3 linked regions of the Caenorhabditis elegans genome follow. The gene in region 3 interacts genetically with the main gene of each other region. Each region holds a gene or a part of one and is shown on either strand. Other genes may lie near its edges.

The links. Genes that interact genetically often act in the same process or in processes that back each other up.
Region 1: of cnnm-3 (region 3) and gtl-1, changing one suppresses a phenotype caused by changing the other (phenotypic suppression), as found in Caenorhabditis elegans (one study listed by BioGRID).
Region 2: of cnnm-3 (region 3) and cup-5, changing one suppresses a phenotype caused by changing the other (phenotypic suppression), as found in Caenorhabditis elegans (one study listed by BioGRID).

What each region holds. Positions count from the first base shown.
Region 1 is NC_003282.8:11,255,160-11,262,212, reverse strand, and holds the start of gtl-1 (TRPM SLOG domain-containing protein), read left to right. Parts: upstream 1-2,677; 5' UTR 2,678-2,747; coding exon 2,748-2,786; intron 2,787-2,876; coding exon 2,877-2,991; intron 2,992-3,360; coding exon 3,361-3,452; intron 3,453-3,500; coding exon 3,501-3,554; intron 3,555-3,617; coding exon 3,618-3,839; intron 3,840-3,883; coding exon 3,884-3,968; intron 3,969-4,066; coding exon 4,067-4,205; intron 4,206-4,618; coding exon 4,619-4,746; intron 4,747-5,136; coding exon 5,137-5,335; intron 5,336-5,377; coding exon 5,378-5,521; intron 5,522-5,614; coding exon 5,615-5,704; intron 5,705-5,751; coding exon 5,752-5,875; intron 5,876-5,918; coding exon 5,919-6,401; intron 6,402-6,491; exon of another isoform or gene 6,492-6,509; coding exon of another isoform or gene 6,510-6,755; intron 6,756-6,804; coding exon of another isoform or gene 6,805-6,971; intron 6,972-7,018; coding exon of another isoform or gene 7,019-7,053. Other genes in the region: F54D1.1 (KHDC4/BBP-like KH-domain type I domain-containing protein), read right to left, coding at 1-12, 62-242, 294-316; C05C12.5 (Phosphoprotein), read left to right, coding at 1,096-1,256, 1,421-1,642, 1,689-1,755; C05C12.1 (Protein kinase domain-containing protein), read right to left, coding at 6,510-6,755, 6,805-6,971, 7,019-7,053.
Region 2 is NC_003281.10:7,581,977-7,592,058, reverse strand, and holds cup-5 (Polycystin cation channel PKD1/PKD2 domain-containing protein), read right to left. Parts: upstream 7,377-10,082; 5' UTR 7,371-7,376; coding exon 6,918-7,370; intron 6,869-6,917; coding exon 6,685-6,868; intron 6,641-6,684; coding exon 6,329-6,640; intron 5,963-6,328; coding exon 5,679-5,962; intron 5,600-5,678; coding exon of another isoform or gene 5,570-5,599; intron 5,398-5,569; coding exon 5,290-5,397; exon of another isoform or gene 5,270-5,289; coding exon of another isoform or gene 5,063-5,269; intron 5,010-5,062; coding exon of another isoform or gene 4,917-5,009; intron 4,873-4,916; coding exon of another isoform or gene 4,738-4,872; intron 4,691-4,737; coding exon of another isoform or gene 4,529-4,690; intron 4,483-4,528; coding exon of another isoform or gene 4,273-4,482; intron 4,229-4,272; coding exon of another isoform or gene 4,093-4,228; intron 3,936-4,092; coding exon of another isoform or gene 3,847-3,935; exon of another isoform or gene 3,745-3,846; intron 2,631-3,744; coding exon 2,403-2,630; intron 2,357-2,402; coding exon 2,255-2,356; intron 1,523-2,254; coding exon 1,384-1,522; coding exon of another isoform or gene 1,277-1,383; exon of another isoform or gene 1,069-1,276; coding exon 978-1,068; intron 837-977; coding exon 731-836; 3' UTR 478-730; and 1 more. Other genes in the region: R13A5.11 (Serine/threonine-protein phosphatase), read left to right, coding at 44-460; R13A5.15 (Serpentine receptor class gamma), read left to right, coding at 3,847-3,935, 4,093-4,228, 4,273-4,482, 4,529-4,690, 4,738-4,872, 4,917-5,009, 5,063-5,269; gda-2 (CMP/dCMP-type deaminase domain-containing protein), read left to right, coding at 9,080-9,269, 9,676-9,947.
Region 3 is NC_003284.9:3,041,399-3,048,551, reverse strand, and holds the start of cnnm-3 (Metal transporter cnnm-3), read left to right. Parts: upstream 1-2,704; 5' UTR 2,705-2,745; coding exon 2,746-2,820; intron 2,821-3,560; coding exon 3,561-3,754; intron 3,755-3,806; coding exon 3,807-3,992; intron 3,993-4,040; coding exon 4,041-4,185; intron 4,186-4,614; coding exon 4,615-4,937; intron 4,938-4,983; coding exon 4,984-5,071; intron 5,072-5,154; coding exon 5,155-5,428; exon of another isoform or gene 5,429-5,458; intron 5,459-6,074; coding exon 6,075-6,238; intron 6,239-6,382; coding exon 6,383-6,565; intron 6,566-7,153.

The DNA of each region.
Region 1 (7,053 bases), on a different chromosome or scaffold from region 3:
TGCGGAATGCGGCTGAAAATACATATGTTCCAACCGAATTCTATAAGGAGTATTAGTATACCGAGTAAAAATCATTCTTATTATAATCTGAACCATATCCATTATCTATAAACCCTTGACCGTGACGATACAATTCATCGAAAACTTTCGAAATCTCTTTTGACAACAACATTCTTGCATTTTTACAATCAATTGGTGTCTCCGATAATTGTCTCATCTCATTGATCAGCTCGTTCAGATAACTGAAATATTATAAGTTCGACTCTGAAACTTAAACTTTCTTATTAACTTACAGGCTTGCGGAAGTCGAGAGCATCGTAGGATAGAACTTTTTCAAAAGTGAATAATAACGAAGAATGAGGAAATAATGAAAATATTGACTTGGACTAGAATGAGAAGGGGAGATTAGAATAAAGAAGATCACGTGAAACGTCCAAATATGAAACACTTTTATATATTTTCCAAAGTATGAGAAGATTTAAGATTAGTTATCACAAAAGAGAGATTAAAGAAGATAAACTGAAAATAATTCAAAAAGCGAATAGAGAAATTCCTAAAATCTTGGTTTCAAGAATGTTATAGGAACCGAAAAATGTTTTAATTTATTACGCTCTCTTGGATATTAAAAATTAGAAGCAAGCCTGCTTCTTGTGATACCTGCAAAGTGAGTTCTAATTATTCAAAGTTTTGCTATTAATAAAAAAATTTGAAGCGATACTGCACATGCGAGCAGATTCATTTCATGCTTGTTGTCTAAACCTTCCACGTAGACAAAAATTTATCCGCCCGCCTGGTTTTTCGACCTAAAACATTAAAGTTGTTGTAGCAGAGTTGTAGAGTTGTAGCAGAAAATAATTTGCATGGCGAGAACAAGCATTTTGGAACAAGCAAGAAGATAAACATAATCATTTTGATAAACCAAAAAAAAATTAATGTTGCTATTATTTTTGAAATCGTGAACTGCTGATTAGAAAAATGAAAACAATAGACCAGGGGGGGGGGGTGAATTTACGTGAGTTCAAAAAACAGTTTGACTTTCCTCATTCCCAGCTTTGCTCTCATCAAAGTTCATAAACGGATCAATACCAGCAAAGGATGGCAAAATACTTTGGCGCCACAGATGCATTCAATGCAATTGTTCAAAAAGTCGACGAAACACTTATTCAAGCAGAATCCCATCTTCGTAATCTTCATGAAGATACAGTGGGAGCAAAGCCGTCTGATAGTTTGCCGGACCGCACTATCGTTCCGTCCCCGTGAGTTGTATTTGCTTTTTTTCTCAGTAATATTTAAAATAATGAGCATTGAACGAATAATAACTTTTGCTCTATTGCACTCTGCTGTACGTCAAGCGTAAGCTATTGGACGTTTTGCTATGAAAATGTTGATTCTAACTTAGTGTCTAAACCTTTTCATATAGATCTTCTCAATCGGAACGTTCATGCTCCCCGGAGCCTCGTATTGTTGCTCCTCAATTGTCTGCATACTCTGGATCATCCGCTGCGTCTTCTTCTTCCGTGAATCATATTGATGTGAAGAGCAAGTCGTATTTGGCATTGGATAAGAAGAAAGCACTGATCATGACTTCGCTCAAGTCAAAGAGAGTTATGAACGATAGTGATGTGACAAAAGTTCAGAAATTGTAGGTTTTTCTGAAATTATTCTGTTAGATCAATTTTATTTTTCAGGATCGATGACTTGTTCGGAAAACAAACTTCTTCGTCCTCATCTTCCATGTCCATCCTTCAGTTGTAGCAAATAGAGATCCTATGAACTGAATAAATAGATTCATTTTCCCGTGGTTTTTTTTTAATTAGTGAAAATCATCTTAGAAGTCACATTGACGAAATTCAACTGAAAATGTTTTAAAGAAAACAAAAAACTTCTATCTTACAAGTAGATCTTGTCTTTTTCGAATGAAGAATCAAAGTCATTCGCGAGAAAATAAGACGTTTGGAGATTTTGGAATATTTGAAGCCTGCTGAGAGATTGCAGAGAGTCAGAAAGGATAATCGCCAGTTGTCGCTAACATAATAAATAGTTAATTAGCTTCTTCAAAGTTTCGTATTTATAAAACATCATTTGTCTTTTTTGATAAAGCTAAAAAGTGTAGACATCATTTAAACCTTATGATAAAACAAAAAGACAACGCCTGACCGACAAAACGCTTAAAATCCATAAAATTGAAATTAAGTCAATATTGAAAATGTTATCTATGCAATGGATCATATGCCATTTCAGATTATTGATTTATATAATCTAATTTAACACTTTAAATGTGTAGTTTCCAGAGCCAATAGTTTTATCATCAGACATCGAAAAGTGTGTACTCTTCTCTTTCTTTTTTTTTTTTCGTATTCTTTCATTTCTGCTGGCCGCAGCTCACTTTCTATCGAATACCTCTTTTCGACTCATTATCAAAAATGATCACCGACAAAAATTTGTTTAGTCGTCTTCTGATTAAAAAGAATCCAATACGTATGCACTCTCCCTCATTCTCATTTTCTCTTATCACTTCGCTCTTTTTCACTCAATTTTTCATGTTTCAACTGTCATCTATGGCTTACTTTTTTTTGACTTTAATAGCGGGGGTAACTCACTTTTACTTTCCTGGTTACCGTTTTTCATTGATTTATTTTCTCTTAAAAATTATATTGTGAAAAGATTTTTATTCCAGAAAAACTTCTGGGAAAATCAGAAAATCTAGATCATCGATACCAAAGTTCAGAGCAAAAAGTTTTAATTGAATGGACAGAAAACGTGGAAGTATAGTTCCTGCAATTCATGTGAGGTTTTAAAATTCCATATAAATGTTGATCGGTCATAAATAATTATATTACTCATTGAGTATTAAAAAACATCACAAATGTTTTCAGAAAGCAGTTGCAGAAAGTCTTCGAGCGAACAGTGTTACTGTAGAAGAAAATGAGAGTGAAAGAGAGACAGAGACACAGACAAAAAGGAGAAGAAAGAAGCAAAGAAGCACTAGTTGTAGGTTTTTTAAAGTTTATAGTTTTTGAAACATAATTACCTTAAAAGAATTCATTAACAATTTTAATTAATTTTTAATTTTAATCCAAATGTGGAAACTCGGCAATCCGCCGCAACTTATTCAACAACATTAGCAACTTTAGCGCCAAATTTATTGTCTTGCAACTTTTAGATATAGTTAGCAACTTCTTTCCCGACTTTAGCATATTTTAAACCAAGTTTAGCCAACTTTTGCGCTTGGAATTTTTGAAGTTGCTAAAGTTGCTGGAAAGTTGCAGCGAGTTGCCCAGAAATGTGATAAAAATCATGCAATTTTATTCTGAAAAGGAATTTAAAAAAAACACCTCCAGAATAAATTTTCAATTTCAGCTGACAAAGCCCCCTTGAACTCAGCTCCAAGACATGTTCAGAAGTTTGATTGGAAGGATATGCTCCATTTGGCAGACATATCTGGAAGAAAAGTTTGAGTTTTGTCAAATGATCAAAATCTTTAAAAGTGTACTGTTCAGCGCGGAAACTCGACAACAAGCCATTCTGGACACGCAACTAGAGCTGGTTCTTTGGTAAGTGGCAGAAAGTTGATACAGTGGAACAGAAATATAAATATTGTCTATTTTTATTTTTAGAAGGGAAAAAACTGGATAGAATGTCGTCTTAAAATGAGACAATGTTCATATTTTGTCCCATCGCAACGATTTTCGGAACGATGTGGATGTGGTAAGGAAAGATCAAAGCATACAGAAGAAGTATTGGAAAGAAGTCAGAATAAAAATCATCCATTAAATCATTTAACTCTTCCTGGTATTCATGAAGTAGATACAACGGATGCAGATGCAGATGATAATGAGGTAATTATTTTGAATTAAAATTATTTTCCTGAAAGCTTGTTCAGGTAAACTTAACTCCTGGTCGTTGGTCAATTCAATCACACACAGAAATTGTACCAACTGATGCATATGGAAATATTGTATTCGAAGGTATGCTTTATCTTTCTGCCTATTCTTATGTTGTGAAAAAACTTTTTTCCAAATTATCTCAAATATTTAAAAATTGAAAAGTTAATCTAAAAATTCAGGAACTGCTCACCACGCACAATATGCTCGAATAAGTTTTGATTCGGATCCAAGAGATATTGTTCATTTAATGATGAAAGTTTGGAAACTTAAACCTCCAAAATTGATTATCACCATAAACGGCGGACTAACAAAGTTTGAGTGAGTAGTTTGAAGTTAACCTTGAAAACAAATTTTAATTTGTTTGATTATTTTCAGGAATATTAGACTCACTGGAAATATTAAACTTTCAATTTTCTCTTAAACACCATTCAAAGCAGTATATAAGAGTTGAACCTGATCTTTCGTTCTAAATTAATCTCCCTTAACACCTACTGAATGTACATAAGACTCTTATAATCTTTTCCGTTCCCAGGACATACCCCTCACCTTTTTTCTATCAATTACTTCTCTTCCAAATTCCTCACTGATACCTTTACCGTTTTTTACGTCACGAAGAATGCCACAATTCTCCGAGGTGGTTGGGGTTTGATGTGATAAAATTTGATCGAGAATAATGATATCACAGAGTGGAAGCATAAATGAAGATGATAATGATAAGATAATATTTGCAGTCTGCAACCGAAATTGGCACGAACGTTCCGAAAAGGAATCATGAAGATTGCAAAGTCAACTGATGCATGGATTATTACTTCTGGGTTGGATGAAGGAGTTGTAAAGCATTTGGATTCAGCATTACATGGTTAGAATAACTATAAAACTTCATAGGAATAATAAGAGCAAGTAGATTTAAAATGAAAAATGGGAGTACGGAACAGATCTCTAGCTTCTGGTCCAGATACTTCAAAAGTTTGGAAAAATTCAAAAAGTGTGCACACATTTTAAAAAAATTGTATAAATTTGCAAAAATCTCAGCTTTGGAATTTTGGTCTTTTGGGCTATTTTGGGTTATTCAATTGGACGTCCTCCTCGCCCACTCGATGTTCATACCGAGAGGCTCACTTTTTGGTGAATACATTTTCTATATTCAATAGAATTTTCCAGGCATTTGTTGATAGCATGATATGTGAAATTTTCAAGCATAAAACATCCTTAGAGCCTGTGACTTAAAATTATAAATTTTAAAATTTAGACCATGGAAACCATACATCAAAGAATCACGTGGTAGCTATTGGAATAGCTTCGTGGGGAATGTTGAAACAGAGAAGTCGATTTGTTGGAAAAGATTCAACAGTAACATATGCAACAAATGTGTTCAATAACACAAGATTGAAAGAACTCAATGATAATCATTCGTACTTTTTGTTTTCCGACAATGGAACCGTCAACCGGTAGATAATTCAAGTTTATTAGTAAATCACAGTATTATTCAGATATGGTGCTGAAATCATAATGCGAAAACGATTGGAAGCATATTTAGCTCAAGGCGACAAAAAGAGAAGTGCAATTCCATTAGTTTGTGTTGTACTGGAGGGAGGAGCATTCACTATCAAAATGGTTCATGATTATGTAACAACGTATGTTCTGTAAATTGTCGTGAATTATAAATTGCATTCCTCAAATTGTTTTAAAACAATCAACACGTCGGTAATAGAAGTAACATTTTTCAGTATTCCCCGTATACCCGTAATTGTTTGTGATGGAAGTGGTCGAGCAGCAGATATTCTGGCTTTTGCTCATCAAGCTGTGTCACAAAATGGGTTAGTTTTAGGTAAAAGTCGTACTTCATTGTTTCTAATATTTTTAGATTTTTATCCGACAATATCAGAAATCAGTTGGTAAACATTGTTCGAAGAATATTTGGATATGATCCGAAAACAGCTCAGAAATTAATCAAGCAGATTGTTGAATGCTCTACAAACAAGTCTTTGGTAATTTCCTGATTTGTTGAAACTTCTTCAACGTTTGTTTCAGATGACAATTTTTCGTTTGGGTGAATCATCGAGAGAAGATTTGGATCACGTAATCATGTCATGTCTTTTAAAAGGTCAAAACCTATCACCACCAGAACAACTTCAACTGGCTCTTGCTTGGAACAGAGCTGACATTGCTAGAACTGAAATCTTCGCAAATGGAACTGAATGGACTACTCAAGACTTGCACAATGCAATGATTGAAGCACTTTCCAATGATCGTATCGATTTCGTACATTTACTTCTTGAGAACGGAGTTTCTATGCAAAAGTTTTTAACTTACGGAAGGCTGGAGCATCTCTATAACACTGACAAAGGACCTCAAAATACTCTGAGAACTAATCTGTTAGTTGACTCAAAACATCACATAAAACTTGTCGAAGTTGGAAGATTAGTCGAGAACTTGATGGGAAATCTATACAAATCGAATTACACAAAGGAAGAATTCAAAAATCAATATTTTTTGTTCAACAATAGAAAGCAGGTTTGTCGAGTTTATAATGATTATAAACATTCCGATGATAACATTAGCTAAAATCTTGTGTTCATGATAGTTTGTATAATCTCTTTAAACATTTCACATCAAATCAATTTATTTATGAAACACTGCTTTCTTGAGTTCAGTTCCTTTTTGTGGCTTCTTGACAGATCCGTTGATTTCCTCGCAAGTCTCCACAGTCGTCTCATCAGTTGTTTCCTTCCCATGCTTCTTCTTTTTCGTCGTCTTCCCCGTTACATTTGCATTTTGAACCGTTGTAAATGGATCCTTTCGGAAGTAAGAGCCGACGTCAGGCTGTTCCCAAGCGAACAATGGACGCTGTTTTTCGGCATGCTGTCTCTGAAACACGCAACGATGAGAATACAGAAATGGTTTATGAAAAACTTACCCATCGTTTGTAAGACGGCATGTTCTTTCCCTCCCAATCATAAGGATCTAGCCAAGAAACCCCACTTTTGTTGAACACTTCTTTGAATGCAAGGTATATCATTTCATAGTTTGGAAATGAGTTGAAAGTGCAGGCATGGAGCATGGTTTCAATTTTTCCAAATCCATCTGTAAAAAAACTATTATTTTCATTTTAAATTATAAATAACACTGACCCATGCCGAAATGATCCTTGAGCTTACTCTTGAGT
Region 2 (10,082 bases), on a different chromosome or scaffold from region 3:
GTTAGTTAACAGAAGTCGTTTTTTCCTAAAAATTCCATTTCAGGAACTTCGCAATCACCCGAAACCAATTCGCAACCCATTCCGTGGAATTGTGAATGACATGCTCTGGGCTGATCCGGATCCATCTGTTTTTGAATGGAAGGCAAGTTCCCGTGGATCTGGTTTCACCTTCGGAACAAATGTGATTGATGACGTTTGTAAACGTCTTGGTGTCGAGCTTATCATCCGTGCTCACCAAATGTGTTTCGATGGTTATTGGGTATTGAGTGGACGGAAGCTTATCACCATCTTCTCTGCTCCAATGTACTGCAACTTCTACAAGAACGCTGGATGTGTGTTGAAAGTTGACGAGACGTTGGGCATTCAGATGATCGCATTTGTTCCAGCATCGGAGAATATCGAGAAGATCATTGAAGAGAAGAATCGTGTCTGGGATATTTCTATTGATTGTATTGATTAATACTTGGAATAAAGTTATTGAATTATTTGAATAAATTACAATTTATTAAGTTCTCAAGAAATCACAAATTATAAATCACGAACAAAACGGAAGAAGAATATCACAAAAGTACATAGCACCACATATACACATGATAAGTAGGTTGTTCAGAGGGGAATAAATATGAAAGAGGAAGGAGAAAGAAACGGATGGGATGGAAGATGAATGAAGATGACCAAAAATACAGACAAAGTTGTTTTTGATAACAAAAGAAAATTAAATTGAGAAACTCTATACATTCGATGGCCTAGAATTGTGAGGATCGTTTCCATTGGCATTTTGGTCGGCTAATACATCTTCATTTGAGTCGTTCAGCGGGTTGGAGAATGATTGAAAACTGAAAAACCAGAGGGATTATTTATCAATTTTCAAATTATCTCGTTCAGTTAATAGAGTATCGAAAATTTTTAGTAGATTTTAGTCGAAAACTTGCAAAACGAAACAAGCCCTCCTAATACACTTTTAAAATTAAAATTACCGAGTTCCATCTCTTAAGCTGCTCAGCCAATCGCGAGCATTGTCAATGGCATGAAGAGCACGAAGAGCTCTACTCGAGTCGTTGCCAGCCGCTGAAATTAGAGAAACTGAATGTTTTCGAACGAACTGATGAACAACTGCAATATCTAGTTAGTTTTTTGTACGTGCTACTATGCTAACTGTAATCTAGAGACTGTTATTCTATATTTTAATTGTTTTAATGCTTTTGTGATTGTTTTAGTACTGTCAAACCACTACACGACGCTGTTAGTTGCTGCTGTCACAACACCATCACCAAAACTAGCAACCAAGTTTGTTTGGCGTGCATAAATGTAAGAAAAATGAAAAAGTGTGTAGAAAGCCTGAACAGAGAAAGATTCGTGTCACTTCAACAGGCACGCACCGACCCAGATTGAGCAGATTAGACGGTGCGTAGGCGGATCGAGTCGTCGGTGAGCCGAGTTCCGACGGCGGTGGATTCGATTCCACGAAATCGCGAAGACATCCACGTTTTTCGATGGCTCGAAGACCGTCTGAGTAGCGATCCTGGAATGAATGAGATATAATTATTAACTTTTACCGTTTTGTTATTTCTTAAATTTAAAAATTCATTAACATGGTTAATATTATGGAGGCGCGTAAAAAATTCCCCGCCCTGACCAGACCGTAAATTCAGTAGAAATTTGAAAAAAATTTCGTTATTTTTTTTATTTTTTTCAGTTTTTCAAGTCGAAATTATGTTTTTTTTTTAAATAAATGCATGTGAAGTTGAAAAGTGATTGATGCGCACTTGCACCTAAATTTCAAAAGTCAAATTTTCTGCAAACCTATAATACGTATGTCAAAAAGGGTGGGTTCTCATTTCTTTGAGCCAATTTCGAGTTTCACTAGTTACAGAATGATGAATTCTCAAAAAAAAAAAATAATTTGAGACTGGTGGTGTCTATGCTTTCTCTTTCAGACCTCGGCAAGACAAAAACTAAATCATTGGTTACACCGAAATCTGACATTTGACTAGTCTCCTTGTCTTCTGACATAGAATTTCATTTTTAGCTGCGAGTAAGCACTTGATCATCTTTCATTTTTCGCCGCAATAATTAAAAATAGATGGATGGGCAAGGAAAATGAAGAGCTATTGCTTTCTTGTTGTTTTCATTTTTCCAATTTTCATCAACACTCAAACAGCATCCCATTGGCGTGGTCTATTGCTCTTTCTTCAGTTGTTTTTTCGAGCTTTTTGTTCTCATTTTCATGTTCATTTGCTCTGTTCATTATTACCTTGACGACTTCATATGCATCCATGATAATTGCAATGAACAGTGATAATACTACATAGATAAAGAGTGACACGAATAGGTAGATGTACACTGTCCCAAATACCTGAAATATTTAAGATAATCTAGAAAAAAAAAAGAAAAATCTTTACCTTGATAACTGTATTGGAATCATTAATAGTGTAAAACGTGGCGAACATATCGTCACCGTTGAGAAGCGAAAATAGAGCTTCCGATGATTCTGCCAGTGTACGGAACTTCATACTGTACGGGCCAATAATAACCCATCCGGCAATCAAGAAACCAGCGTAAAGTACAATGGCACACGTCATGAAGCGCATGATATTGGGTGCCGATCGTTTGAGCGTGAGCATGAGGATCTGGAAAATGGCAAAAATAAACATTTTTCCTTCACTTTTATCGTTTGAAACCAGCAGAAGCTTTTTTAAAAGTTTTTTTAGTATTTTAATCATTCCATTATATTTAGCTTTTCTCTTTGATTGCGGTTATTTTTACTTATAGAGTGATTTTGTTAAATAATTGGCTCAATCTAGAACTGGCTTGTTCTAGATTGTGCCAATTATTTAACATAGGATCTTGCTTTTTAAATTTTATCTGAAAAATTAAAGAACGTAAATTTCAAGAATTTTCCCGAATTTTTATAAAATTAAAATGGTTTTTTTTCTATTTTATATTTTCCTTTTTTCGGAAATTAGCTAGAACTACTCACTACAACATTTAAAAATAATTTTTAATTTTTTTGGAATTTTCAAATTTATATCTTGCGGATAATCGAAGAGCAACTATCAAATTTTTTTTTTGGCAATTATTCTCATTTTTTGAAATTATTTTAATCATGTTTTTCTCACCAACAGCAAAAATTTGAATAAAAATTCGGATTCATTTTTGTAAACTTTCAGAAAAAGATTTTCTCTTAAAAGAAAGAGTTAAGAATATTTAAAAATTCGGTATTGTTGACATCATTTTCTCGTTTCCAATTTTCAAGATACCAGGAAGAAACAAAAGAGGTATGAAAATTGATTTATGTTTTGACATAAGACCCTCTTTATTTTAGTTGTGCCAAGGTTTTAGATACGGCTTTTTGACTTCTCTTTTAAACTTTTCCTTCTCTCAAACGTGATACTTTTGGGGGCACCAGTGAAACAATATCAAATTAAAGAAATATTTAATCTCTGGAGAATTTTCATTTACATTTGCACTTTTCACATCAAATACACTTTGACATCATTCTAGACAATGCGTGATTAATTAACTCAGTTTCTATGAACAACAAAATCTTAATCACGCGTTGTTAGACGTCGTCTAATCAAGTCGAAGTTTTCCAGTTCGAAGCTTTCAATATATATATATACATACGCCAATCCTTAATTTTGTAATGTTTGTAGTATGCTTTAGCTTGTTAATGTAAATGGATCCTTCCATCTACTCCCCTTAATTTCCCCAATTTTCACAAGTTTAAAACTTGTTGTTTGCAGGGCAACATTCTATTGGTCGGTGGTCTTTTCAATTAAATTTGAAGACCATTGAGCTCTTTTCCTTTTTCTTTGTCTTCTTCATTTCGAACAATTTTTTCGAATGAGTTCCATTTTCTCGCATGGAAACGAAACAGTAGTTTCAGTATCTGATGGTGAAATTAGAAATGTGGCATATGCGTTTGATTATAGGTAAGTTTATTTGAACATATTTTAAACGTAAATTAAGCAAAAAATTTCACGAAAATAAGGAGCTTAATCGAATTCTGGACATTCATCCGCTTTTTTTTTATTATATACCAGCAAAAATTTCAACATTTCGCGCCTAAAATGTAATCGAGATTTCCAGACAACCTCTACTTCTAATTCATCTACTCTACACTGTTCCATCATTTATAGCATATCATAAATGCCGCACGTTTTTGACGAAGGAAAGCGTCACTAGCAGCTATTTCAATGTGATTTTCACAAATGATTTCTATATTGTAAGTACATAGACCTTTCGGATAAAAAGTGTAAACTTTTTCAGAATGTTGCACTTTTTATAATCGACTTTCTATTTACACGTCTTCCAATTTCTGGTCTTTTTGAAAATCTTCCTTCATACATCCCAGAAGGAATACCTATGACTATAATCTACTTTCTCTCGTATTACTTGATCTATGTGAACTTTTATTCAATAACATTAATATGCATCAATCGAATGACTTCTGTACTTTTCCCGTATTACTGTAATTCGGTGAGCCTTCCCATCCGAAAAATATGAATCTCCTAAAAAATTAAAGTTTTGGCAAAAGAACGTCCGCAGTGCAATCGCACTTGTCTACATTCTTCCATTAATTACTACATGGCACTTAGTCACCTATGACGCTTATTTCTTACCACTATACGAAAATCGATCCAATTATCAAATGGTATACAGAGTGAAACTGTTGATAGGATTTTTGGTATGGTTTCCACCAAACACAAAATATGAAAATCAATAAAATTACAGCCTAGAAACAGTACGGCGCTGTGTTTTGTGTCGATTCTTCTCGCCGTAATATGTGTTGCAGCGAATTTCACAACAATTGTTAAGTACAAAACGACAATTCAAACAGTAAAAACGGCTAGTGGTACTCAGAACGAAGTTAGTTTGAATAATATTATATTAGAAGCATAATCAATTTTAAGTTTCATCGAAAAAGAACACGACGAGTAGAAATTGCAATGTTTTCTATAGCGTTAGTGGTATGTTTTTCACTGGTACTGCAGGCTTTATTACAGGTAAGGAAATAATGAATTATTGGAGTATTTACTTTTTTAAAAATTTTTTATAGGCTCTGATAATGATCTACACTGGTACTTCGTCATTCATTCGTGAAACATGTCAAGATCTACGTGCATTCGCACTGGATATTTCCATATGTTGCCCACCTTGGATAATGTATTACACTACAGTACACTCGCATAAGACTACAATAACAAGTAATTCCATATCCGGAGTTGGTATTCCAACACGATCAAATGTTGTTGTAATGAAATAAAGCAATTTGAAACAACTCACATTATATTGACTGAAAAATCCAAAATATCGAAGAACTCCGACATATACCAGCAAAGCTCCCATTCCGAGGAAAATCGAAGTTAGCGTGAAGAGGGAATTGTCGAAATCCTGAAAAGAAAGCAATAATCTTAGTTTTATGCAAGAATTAATGGAAAATAATTTTCTAATCAATACAGAGGGGCAATTTGGTTTCGATAAATCCCGGGATGAAAAGTTGATGGAAACAATGGGACGGACAGATACAGAAAGGAAGTTATTGGAAATATAAATTTTTACTCACATTTCTTGTAGTAAAAGTATTTTTGTTGAACTAAATTTAATATATTTTATGTTTGAGTATTGGAGGGAATTTTTCATTTGAATTAAACTTAAATTTTTATAAAAATTACCTGAAACTCGATGGATATTTTTGCAACAGTTCCAATGATAATAAGCGCATCGTTGACCACAATCATCACATACCACAAATTCAGAAAATCGAGTTGATCGGTAACGGTGATCTTATTTTTGAGTACATTCTCAAAATAGTCGCTTGTTTTGATTTGAAGTAGATGGGCTTTGATGAGGGCTCGGCAGCAGAGAATCAGTGATAGAATGCAAAGAATGAGAACGAAAATATCGGTTCCGCCGATTAAAAGTGTGTCAAATGACCATCCAACACCTGAAACTTGACCTAACTCGAGATTGATTGAATTTTTATATTTTGATATTTTAATATTACAAAATTCATTTTTATTTAAACACAGAAGTACACCTAGAAGTTAAATATTTCAAGTTAATTGGGAAATTTTTGAATACCTAAAATCTAAATGTTACTCTCAAGAAGAACTTTTTTAGGCAAATAAAGTTATGTAGATTTTAACACGAAGTTTCAGAAAGACTTTTATAAAAGATTTGAAGTTATATTTAATAGCATCCCATTTGATGATTCTTCACCATTAATTATTGGAATTCTATGTTAATTGGGTAATTTTCGATTACATAATCTATAATTTTTACTAGCTTTACTTTGAAAATTTGAAAAAAGTGAAGTGTTCACCTTTGATGATCCTTCCATTACAAACATTCACATAAGAAACCACAGTTGATAGAGTGACATGAACCTGTCCTGTATGCCTTGAATTATCAAATTTGATAGAAACTGATATCTTATAGCATTCTGGTTTCTGATCTCCGGCTGTTGGTGAATAATGAATTGTTCGTAGTCGAAATTTGAATTGGACCGTCGATATCTTGAGCGCGTCTTCTGGGAGAAATGTGATTCCACGAGTGGCGAGAATATCTCGAACAGCATCATCGGATTGTCCGATTTGGAAGACTTCCGTTTCTGTTAGATTCAGACGTTTCGTGTCTAGAAATAAACTATTTTTATTTCATAATAGTATGTTTATATACCTTTCACTTCACGAATGTCGAAATTATAAGTGTTATTGTTCACTGTTACGTTGGAAATTCGATCGATAAGAACTTCAATAGGTGGAATAGATTCAAAACTAATTTGAGCGCCAAGATTTCCAGATGGATGACTTACAACGTCATAGGAAAATGAAGCAAATGAATCATTGCGAATTGAATAATACTGAAACAATATTGATCATTTTACAAGATAGTTCTCCAAAGCGACTTACAGAATTAATCAAAAAGCTCAAATGCTCGGATAATCCTTGATCATCATAAACCGAATATCTTCCTTCAGCTGGTGGATATTGTAATGCATCTCTGTCGTCATTCCATTCTTTTAAAAATCGATGTCTCATAACTGTTGTGGTGTCTTCGAGAAAATCAACATGAGACATGCGCATTTCCGCGAATAAAATTAATTGCATGGTAACGAAAACTATTTTGAGCACTTGTAGAACCAACTTATAGGGCAGTTGATGTCTGACTTTCCATTTCTCCATTGGATTCATAAAAAAGAATTGGAGATGACGGCGAAGACGTTCGCCGGTTTCTCTTTCGTGGTGCGGAAGATCTTCCATTATTTCTTGAAAATTTATTGTTGGCCTTCGAGAAGCATTTGAAGAAGCATTCGAAGCATTATCGTTGAAGTCTGAACGATCAGTTGTGCTCCGGCGAGACATCTGAAATCATGAAATATTAAATAACGTTGTATTAATGAAAAATTGATTTCGATGCGAGTGGCGGTTAATATAAGCGTACAAAATATGAATTCTAATTTTTAAAAAATATATATTTTTATGATTAACATGCTATTTATAAAAAACAAAAACAAATAATTGTTTGAACAATTAAAAAATAATTTTCCGAGACCAACGCCCGCGTAAATCCTACTAGTGAGGTACACCGCGCGGTGTCTTTGCGTACCATGCACAATATCTGACGCCGGTCAATCTTATGGTATTTATTTTCTCTTTAAAAAACGAAGAACTAAAAAGAAATACTCACCTAAAGTCCAAAATTATCAGAAATTATCGTTATCAGTCAATCAAAAATTGGTTAAGACCATGCAAACATGCAATTTTGCAGTTTTCAACCCTTAAAACAATACATTTATTATCTCACCGATTCGAGGGGAATTTGCTCTAACCGCATCGATCTCGAAGCTTGGCTTCTGAATATTCTACTCATCTTTCAAGAAAGCTTAGAGGTGTTATTTAGAGCCGATGTAAATGGCGAACATGGGATAGATAAAAGAGCATTTGAGAGAGAGAAGCGCAGGGAAGCTAGAGACACGTCAATTTGTTTTTTTCTGTGTTGGGTTTTTTTTTCCTTCCGTAGATAAATAGCGGTTGGAATCTATACAAAATTGAGCATGACTTTTGAAAGGTGCACACAAAGAAAATAAAAAGCGTAGTACTTTCAGTAAAGAGAAATTGGAAAATTTTTTGAGGGCACATGTACATAGTATTTTGCAATGACGTTAATATGGATAAACTCGGAGAGAATTATAAATTCAGAAATTTGCATAGAATGACGCACATTTTAAAAGTGAAATTGCAGGTTATAAAGTTGTAGTTAAAAAAGTTTGAGTTATTACCCAGTTGCGAAAGATTTCAATTTATTACAAAAATTTCGGGCTGGTTCACAGCGCGAACATTTTCAAATCGTAGCCGCCGCAAAAAAGGTATGCACCTTTAACAACCACAGTAAACCATTGAAATTTTTCTTTGAATTTTTAGTCATATTCATATTCTGTCGTATAATTTTATCTGTTTCTTTTTAGATACAAATAGTGAGAAAAGGAAGAGCACAACTAACAAACGGGCAATGGATTACTGTCGTTTTTTGAAGGCGCAGTGAGACAGTAGGTACCGTTTTTGAAAGTTTACAGAAGGCAACGTTTGACAACTACTTCAATTTTTGTTCTTTTTTTTTGGTCGTACCCCAAATATCGAAAAAAGTCTCTGCAATTTTTAAATTTCCTGTGATTTCAATAAAATATTAAATTCTGAATTTCTATTTATTGAACTTCGATATCAAAATTCCTCTTGCCACACACAAATTTTTAAAATCTAATACGTTTCCATGTCTGCAACTATCGAAAACACCTCCACAATATTCAGTTCATCATCATTTTTTGTTTGGTTGACTGGCTTCCGATCGCTCTTTTCCTTTTTTGTTCTTTTCCCACGCCTTCTTTTTCTTCATCTCTGGCGTACTCTCTCGATGTCAAATTTTTGTTAAAGTGAAAGTTTTTGGCAACTATAGTTTTTACAACATATTCATTCATTTGTAGTTTTGATATTTTTTTATTTATTTTTGTTTCTAATAAATTTTTCATCCGTGAAAAAACTCGGTTAATCGAAACATTTCTTGAAAATTCAGAAAAATGGAATTCATGAAACTCGCAATCGAAGAAGCCAAGAAAGGAATGGAGAAGGGAGACGGTGGACCATTTGGAGCTGTAATTGTCAAGGATGGGAAGGTAATCGGTAGTGGGCATAACATGGTTTTAGTCACCAAGGATCCAACAGCACACGCCGAAGTTACAGCCATCAGAAATACTTGTAAGAATGTCGGTAAGTATTCCTTTCGTTTTTAACTTTAGTAAAGGAAACAAAATTAGTTTCTTGAATCCAAAATTTCGAAAATAATTTATAATTTTTTACAATTGTTTTTTATTTAGTAAATTCCTTACAAGATATCACTGTTTGGACATCACTTACTGCTTTGATCTTCAGTGTTTGGTTTTTGACTTTTTTGATTGCCTATAATTTGGTTCACTGTACTTTTTAATTTAATTTAGGTAAGAAGTTACTTCCTGGATTCCATGCAAGCCTTTACTGAAATACTAATTATTAGGGGTTTTGTGAGAATTTGAGATCTGCTAAAAGATCAGAAGCGTCTTAATTTATTTTCCCTATTTATCCTATCTACTGTTATATAATTATATTCAAATTGGCCATATATCTATTATTTATCCAGACAACTTTGATCTATCCGGTTGTCAACTCTACACTTCCTGCTATCCATGTCCAATGTGTATGGGAGCTGCTCTCTGGTCTCGTGTCGATGCAATTTACTACGGTGCCACGTCACAAGACGCCGCGAATATCGGATTTGGAGATCATGAGTTCCATGAGTTCCTTCAAAACCCAAAATCGGATGATAAACGAAAGTTGGAACAATTCAAGGTGGACAACTACTTAGAGCCATTCCAACTTTGGTCAAAGAAGGATAACAAAGAACTTTATTAAATATAAACAAATTCTCTGGTTTTTGTCATTTGTTGGTTGCAAAAAAGTAATGCATTATAAATAAACGTATAGGAGTGTGAGCATATGGGAGCAGCAAATATGAATAATTGATTACAGGAAAAAAGACGAAGGTTG
Region 3 (7,153 bases):
TAATTACAAGTTATGAAGTGCATTCTTTTTTGTAATTATCCATAAATAAATCAACAAATGAACAAATTTTAATTTCTCTATTTGATATCCACACAAAAAATCATTCCAAGTTTAGACGTATTTTTTCTAACGACTTCTTACGTTTTCAAATAAAAATTACCTTTTTGAACATAATTTTCTTCTTTAACTTTTGAAAATGTAATCCTTTTACATCTCACCTATTTCAGTTTGTTTTACATTTTTATGACATCCTCATTTCATTTTTAAAACCATCAAAAACTTTTTCTTCTATTTTTCTTCGATTTGCACCCACTCCGAAGTGCACCTCAATCGTCAGCTGTTATCGTCCTTCAGTTTTTTTTTCAGAAAGTACACAATTTTCAAATTCACTGAGATTTCATAGTTGTGTTCTGTTCTCTTTTCTATATGATGTGATGTTTCACATCAATTATGAGTTAATGCATTATTTGTCCATTTGCATTCTAAAAATCTAATGGATGTCTGCCTGTTCCGTTTTGGTCTATCTTTTAAGGATTGCAATTTCTTTATTATCATTGAACCTGCCCTTTTTCTGTTGTCAATACATATTTTGATTTCAAAATTTATTGAACGGTATTTATGGGTTTTGATCTACCAAAAAAAATTTTCATACATTTTTTTAAAGTGAGACGTGAATTTTTTTTAAATTCTCAGGCTCGTTGACGGATTTTTTTTTGAATCCTAAAAATTGACGGAGAACTTTGAGAAATTAATACTTGTGATCAAAAACATGTGATTTTAAAATTATTAAAATCTGAATTCAGAAATTTTTCAAACATGCCTACATAATTTGTGACGTAGTATTGTAAGGAACAAAAAATGCCCTCTTATGCAAAATGTTGTGAAGAAAAACTCCATAACTTTTTTGCACTGCGCATTTTGAATATTTTCGAGCAGTCCTATTCGAACTTGCGTGCAACTGGTGAATAATTTCTTTTTTTTTTCTTTTTTTTTCTTGCATTTACTTCGCTCACACACACCGCAATTATTAGTTTCGGTCTCACCGAAATACGTGGTTCACCCACTTTTTCTGAACTCTTTAGTGTTTGCAGAACGAGAGTTGGCTGCCAGTGTGTGTATATGTGGAGGAAAATTTTATCAATACATGTAAAACTGATTGATTATAGGGCGGTCAATGATCGTTCAGTTTGATTTGTTCGCAAGACCATTGTATTTTGTTGCTCTTCTTCTACTACACTCGCCGCCATGATATTTTGTAATTCGAGAGTTTTGAAAGAGAAACTAATGAAAAGTTTCAATTTCAATTTTCGTTCCAGCAATCGTCATCGTTGTGCGCTTTTTGAACTTGATTTTACCGGAATAAGTTAACTTTAATAAAAAAATTCATTCAAAATTCAAACAATTATGTGAAATTTCTAAATTTCTCAATCCGTTAAGGTGACTCACGCTTTGCTTTTTTTTAAACAATATCACGAGGTTGTTATTGTTGTTGTGGTACAATGATGCATTCAAACATAGAATGATGAATTAATTTTTTAAAAACGATTGCTCAATCACCATTATTAAAATTGATTTGAAAATCTTCCGCAACCGTGAGAAATACACGTCACTTTTCTCAGGGTTTTGAAGGTGTTGCCATTGCCATTGTTTTCTGTTTCTTGTTTGATTTACTCCGGACAGCACACACTGAAAAATTGGCGGGAAGTTATCTTACAAGATACAATACGGACAAGCCAAAAACTTAGGATTTTGTCTAAGTTAACCCTTTTTTTTTGGAATTTTGAACCGATATACAAAGTTTATGAGCAATTTTTGTGAGAAATAAAAGGAATACAATTTTTTGAGAAATACGTATTTTTAAGTCAGATTGAGTTGAATCTTTTTTTTTTTGATTTTGCAGTCAAAACTACATCTTATCTGCCCGAAAATTTGAATAATTTTCTCTAGAATACAAAACATATATTTGTTTTCCACATTTTTCAATTTATCTTTTTTCGACTAGAAATACATATTCACGGTCAATTTTTATCACATAAAAGTTATATGGCAACTTATGATGAATCAATTTTCAATAAAAATGACGTGGTGGGCCCCTAACAAAGACCTAAAAATATCCATGGATGCAACTTTATTAGTTGCTACGAAACCAAAGAAAAATGCGTAGCACACACACTAATCTTTCGTTTTTCTTTGTTGCTTCTTTCTTGCATTTTTCATTCATTGTAATTTCTTTTTATTGCAGCATTCCACTTCCACTTCTCTTGATTGAATTGAATAGCATCGTTTTTTGAACCCTCATCTCCTCTCGAGGAAAAACTGAGAAATTTAAATTGCCGAGTTTGGAGCTTGGTGAAGGGAGAAGCCGTGTCATCGCGATTTGTATTTTTTTCAGTGCAGAGTCACGCACCACGTACATCAAACTTTAGAAATTTGTGGGGCTCTTATCAGAGAAATGAAAAAAAAAATGAATTGATAAAAAAAAGGGAAACCAGACTGAATTTGATAATTAGCTTTATGACGGGTCTTCTCTTTTTTCTTTTTTCTATTTAGGTATGCAAACAATATAACTTAGAGAATTTTTTTAAAATTTCGAACAATAACACATTTTTCCGACAATTTTTCTAACTCACCATCTCTTTCTGTTTTTTTGTTTTTCTTGTTTCTGATTAAAATTTCTATTGTTCCCAATGAGTCATTATTTTCCAGAGCCTTCACACTCGAATTCCTATCAACCTGTACCGTTCAATGTCAAAGACACCATGGGCTCTCGGCCTCCTGATATTTTTGCTCACTTTCACATCGCCACTGTCTTCTTCTCCGGTAAGAGCAGCGAAAAAAATGTGTGCCACGAAATCACAATGTGTGATGTCAGTACACTGACAATCTTTTGAAATGCGTTTCCAGAGGGTAACTTGCATTTGGCCTCTAATTGGAAGCATTTTCAATAGATAAGCGTCGCGTGTCCTTGGTTTCTGATCAAAAATGTATACAACAAATTGTTGTATAGGAAGAAATAGTCGTTCCAAAAGTTAACAGGGGCTATAGATTTATAAAGAAAATTAAAATTTTGAAACAATTAGTATATGAATAAATATACAATTATTGGTCATTAAAGGTAGAGTAGCGCCAGTGAAAGTTTTGCTTAAACACAATCATAATGATCGAATATCATAATAAAACAAAACACTTCAGATTGTTAAAATTTCAAGTCAAAGTTTTGGCAAATTGCCAATTTTTGCCAAGAGCAATTTCGCATGTTCCAGGATTTTTTGACACGAGTATTTGAAACAAAATAATAGTTTGAAAATCATATAAATATTTTTTTGGTTGATATCCCAAATTATGAGTGACAAAACTGAGTGATAGTCATTTTTTGGCAGGTAATAAAACATTTCCAAATTTGTTTTGAAAAGTTTTACTACGCTATTTAGTCTTTGTAGTTTCAAAAACTTTCTTTTAAACAATTTTTCAATTTCAATTTCAGTGCAAAAGTATCTTTCTTCAAAACTTTGAATAAAGCCAGACAAAAAAGGAACTTTCATTTTTTATTTAATTTTCAGGTCCGCTCCACTGACAATTCAACCTCATCAAAAGGATTATTAAATGTCAACTCTTCTGTGATATTGGAACCTTCAATTCTGCCAAGTTCAGCCTCAAAACCGGAATCACTTCATTTATCAAAAGTTCGAGTTTCGGGACTTCGCCTCGAAGCTCACGCCTCTTCTACTGAAAACATTGTTCTCGGACACAATAAGTAATACGGGGCTGATTAGAATATATACTAATTTTTAAAATCCTACTTTCAGAAAACACAATGTCGTCGTTGTCCCAAATAAGAATGTTCGAGTTGTTCTGTTCGGCCAAAATTTTCAAGACATCGGAGCTCTCACTTTCACAGCAGACGGGTCTTGTAAAGATTTGGCACATTTCTTTGAAGCCGATTTTTCTTCTATGACACCCATTCGTGTCGTTGTTGAGATGAGCTTTCCAAAGTGAGTTGATGAAAAAAAGTTTGTAAATATGAAATGGTTTTAATTCAGAACCACTGAATCAAAGGACAGTTTCAAACTCTGCGTGTCAGAAAAGTTTTATGCCAACCCTCAGTTTGTTATAGTAGAAGATCCGTTCACAATGGTCACCACTGAAATTCCGCCCGTTGATGAGTATATGCCAAAATGGCTTTCGGTGAGTTTCTGATTCCAGATATAAGCGATAGAATTAACATTAATAATTAGAAAACCATGTTTAATTTTGCAACATTTAAGCTGTTGCTGAAAAAGTTGAAATGTTAAAAAAAACAATGAAAAATCATATACGATGAATTTTATTTCCTTTAGATAAACCTTCCATTTAAAATATGGTTTTTGAGTTACAGTCGTAATCATCATTAAGAATGAACTCACGAGGTGTCGGCTGCTATATATTTTTCTATGACTTTTGTGGATCATTTAAGTATCTAGAGTCAAGTAGACATGGAAAACATTCTTTTGATGAACATTTTTCGATAGCATGTTTAGTGGTAAAATTAGCAAAATTATCAAAGCATAAAACAATTGTGTAAAAACTTTAAAAACTCATTTAATTAACTATAGTTCATTTCATTGCTTTTTTCAGTGGATCTGTTTATTAATCCTTCTGTGCTTCTCTGGTTTGTTCTCCGGTCTCAATCTTGGATTGATGACTCTGTCTCCGTATGAGCTTCAGCTTTACATCGCAAGTGGTACTGAACAAGAAAAAAGGGACGCTGGAAGAATTCTACCAATTCGCAAAAAAGGAAATCAACTGTTGTGCACATTATTGATTGGTAACGTAGTTGTAAACGTCGGCGTTTCGCTTTTGATGGACCAATTAGTGGGCAGCGGGTTTGCTGTACTTGTTGCGGCGACATCTTGTATTGTCGTGTTTGGAGAAATCATTCCACAAGCATTATGTGTGAAGTAAGGGTTTACGTAACCTGTGTGTACTTATAATTTTGAATCTCAGGCTAGGACTCCCGATTGGTGCAAGAACAATTCCAATCACACAAGTTCTCCTTTTCCTGATGTATCCTCTGACGTGGCCAATATCTAAGGTTTCATAAATTTTCTATTATCAGCCAGGAATTTGACCTTTATTCAAAAAATAATAATTTCAAATGTTTGCATGTTTTTGCAGGTCCTCGATATCTTCTTGAAAGAAGAGCTAACACGCTCGTTGGAGCGGAACAAGCTTGTCGAAATGCTCAAGTTATCCGAGAAGAGCATCATTGGAGGGCAATCTGACGAATTTAAAATGGTATTGGGTGCACTCGAGCTTTACGACAAAACCGTCGCCCACGCGATGACCCGTTACGAGGACATTTTTATGTTGCCCCATACGTTGACACTTGGCGCTGGAATGGTGACACAGATTTTAGATATGGGTTATACGCGTATTCCGATTTACGAAAGTAAGACATTTGGGGGTGAATCGTTGAATGGTGAGCTATAAAGAAACTGCATGGATAATTTATAAATTCGCAACAAAAAAAATTGTTAAATTGAAAATGTTTGCTGGGGGTAAAGCTAAAAAATGTTTAATCTTTGAAATAAGTCACGACAACTGAATTAGTAAAACTTATAATATTTGGTAATCATAGGAGTGATTTTAAATAAATTCCCTTATTGCCGCTAATCAACGTTCAAAAAATATTATTCGGCCAGGAAAAATCTAAAAAATTTATTGATGGAGTTATGTGAGAGGCTTTAGATTTATTTTACAAAAATACAACATTTACCAAAAGTATCCCAAAGCCTTTGTATAACTCTGGGCACCCTTAATAAGATCCAGATATAAAACCTGCAAACATCCGCAATTTTTCAAACCTCTCTAGTTGTGAACAGAAGAACTGAAAAATTTAAGATCAAGATTTTTCTATTATAGTTCAAAGTGTTTTCCAAATTTTTTTTGTATTTAGAGAACTAATTTAAAGGTTTTCTTTCGCCTGGCATAGGTTTTATTTGAAAAAGTGAGCTGAAATAACTATTTTGCCTGAAAATTCAATTTGATAGCTTACCAAAATCAGAGAAAATAAATAAATAAAATCAATATTTCAGATGACCGTAAGAACATTGTCGCACTTCTGTTTGTAAAAGATCTCGCATTGCTCGATCCTGACGATAATCACAATGTCATGAAAATCGCCTCAATTTACAACCATGAAGTTCGTCGTGTGTTGGTAGACATGCCACTCCGAAATATGTTGGAAGAATTTAAACGGGTAAGAACGCCTCGCTTCCAAAGACTCAATTCAATTAAGTGGATCAATCTTACCCGGTTTTTAAAAGCTTGAAAAAAAGCTTTTCAAAAGATATTTTCAACTTCATGTGTCTAGAAAAAAAACATTTAATCTACTAGAGTTCAGGGCGAATATCACATGGCGCTGGTCGAGCGACTCGTCGAGCAAGAAGATAAAGACCCGATTTACGAGCTCTGTGGACTGATTACCCTCGAGGACATCATTGAGGAAATCATTCAGTGCGAAATCATTGATGAAACTGATGCAGTGTGCGATAATGTGCACAGGAAAAAACGGCAGAGGAAGAGGGTTAGTTGACTTTTGAACAGGTACATACTAGTTGCTTAAAGGCGGAGATAGTCTGTGGAGATTAGTCATAATATCATACATTTATTATAGTCCAACACAGTAGAACATCATATTTAAACATTTTTTCAGTAAAAAGTTTTGGTAAGCTGTCGAATTTTCCAAAAATGTAGACCAAACATGTAGAGTAACAGGTTCAACCCCTAGTATCTTTAAAATTAGAGTACCGTTAGTTGGGACATTGCTTTAGAACAGAGACATTGCTTCAGAACCACAATTATCAAATATCATAGTAACAAAAAATAAAAATTACATGTTTCATATCATGTTTTGAAATTGTCAAAATCTCAGTTTTTGCCACTTTTTTGGAAGTCAAAAAAAAACGATCAAAAAATTTTTCCCTAATTTTATGATTTACATATGCTACAAATATTAATATTTAAACATTGTAACATTCGATAGTTTTCTCAAAAAATGGCAAAAACTCAGTAATTGCCACTTTTGACAGTCGACTAAAAATTTTTCAAAATTTATTTGAATTTTTTTCTACGATTTTAGACATTTTTTTAACGTTGTGGTACCATAGACATG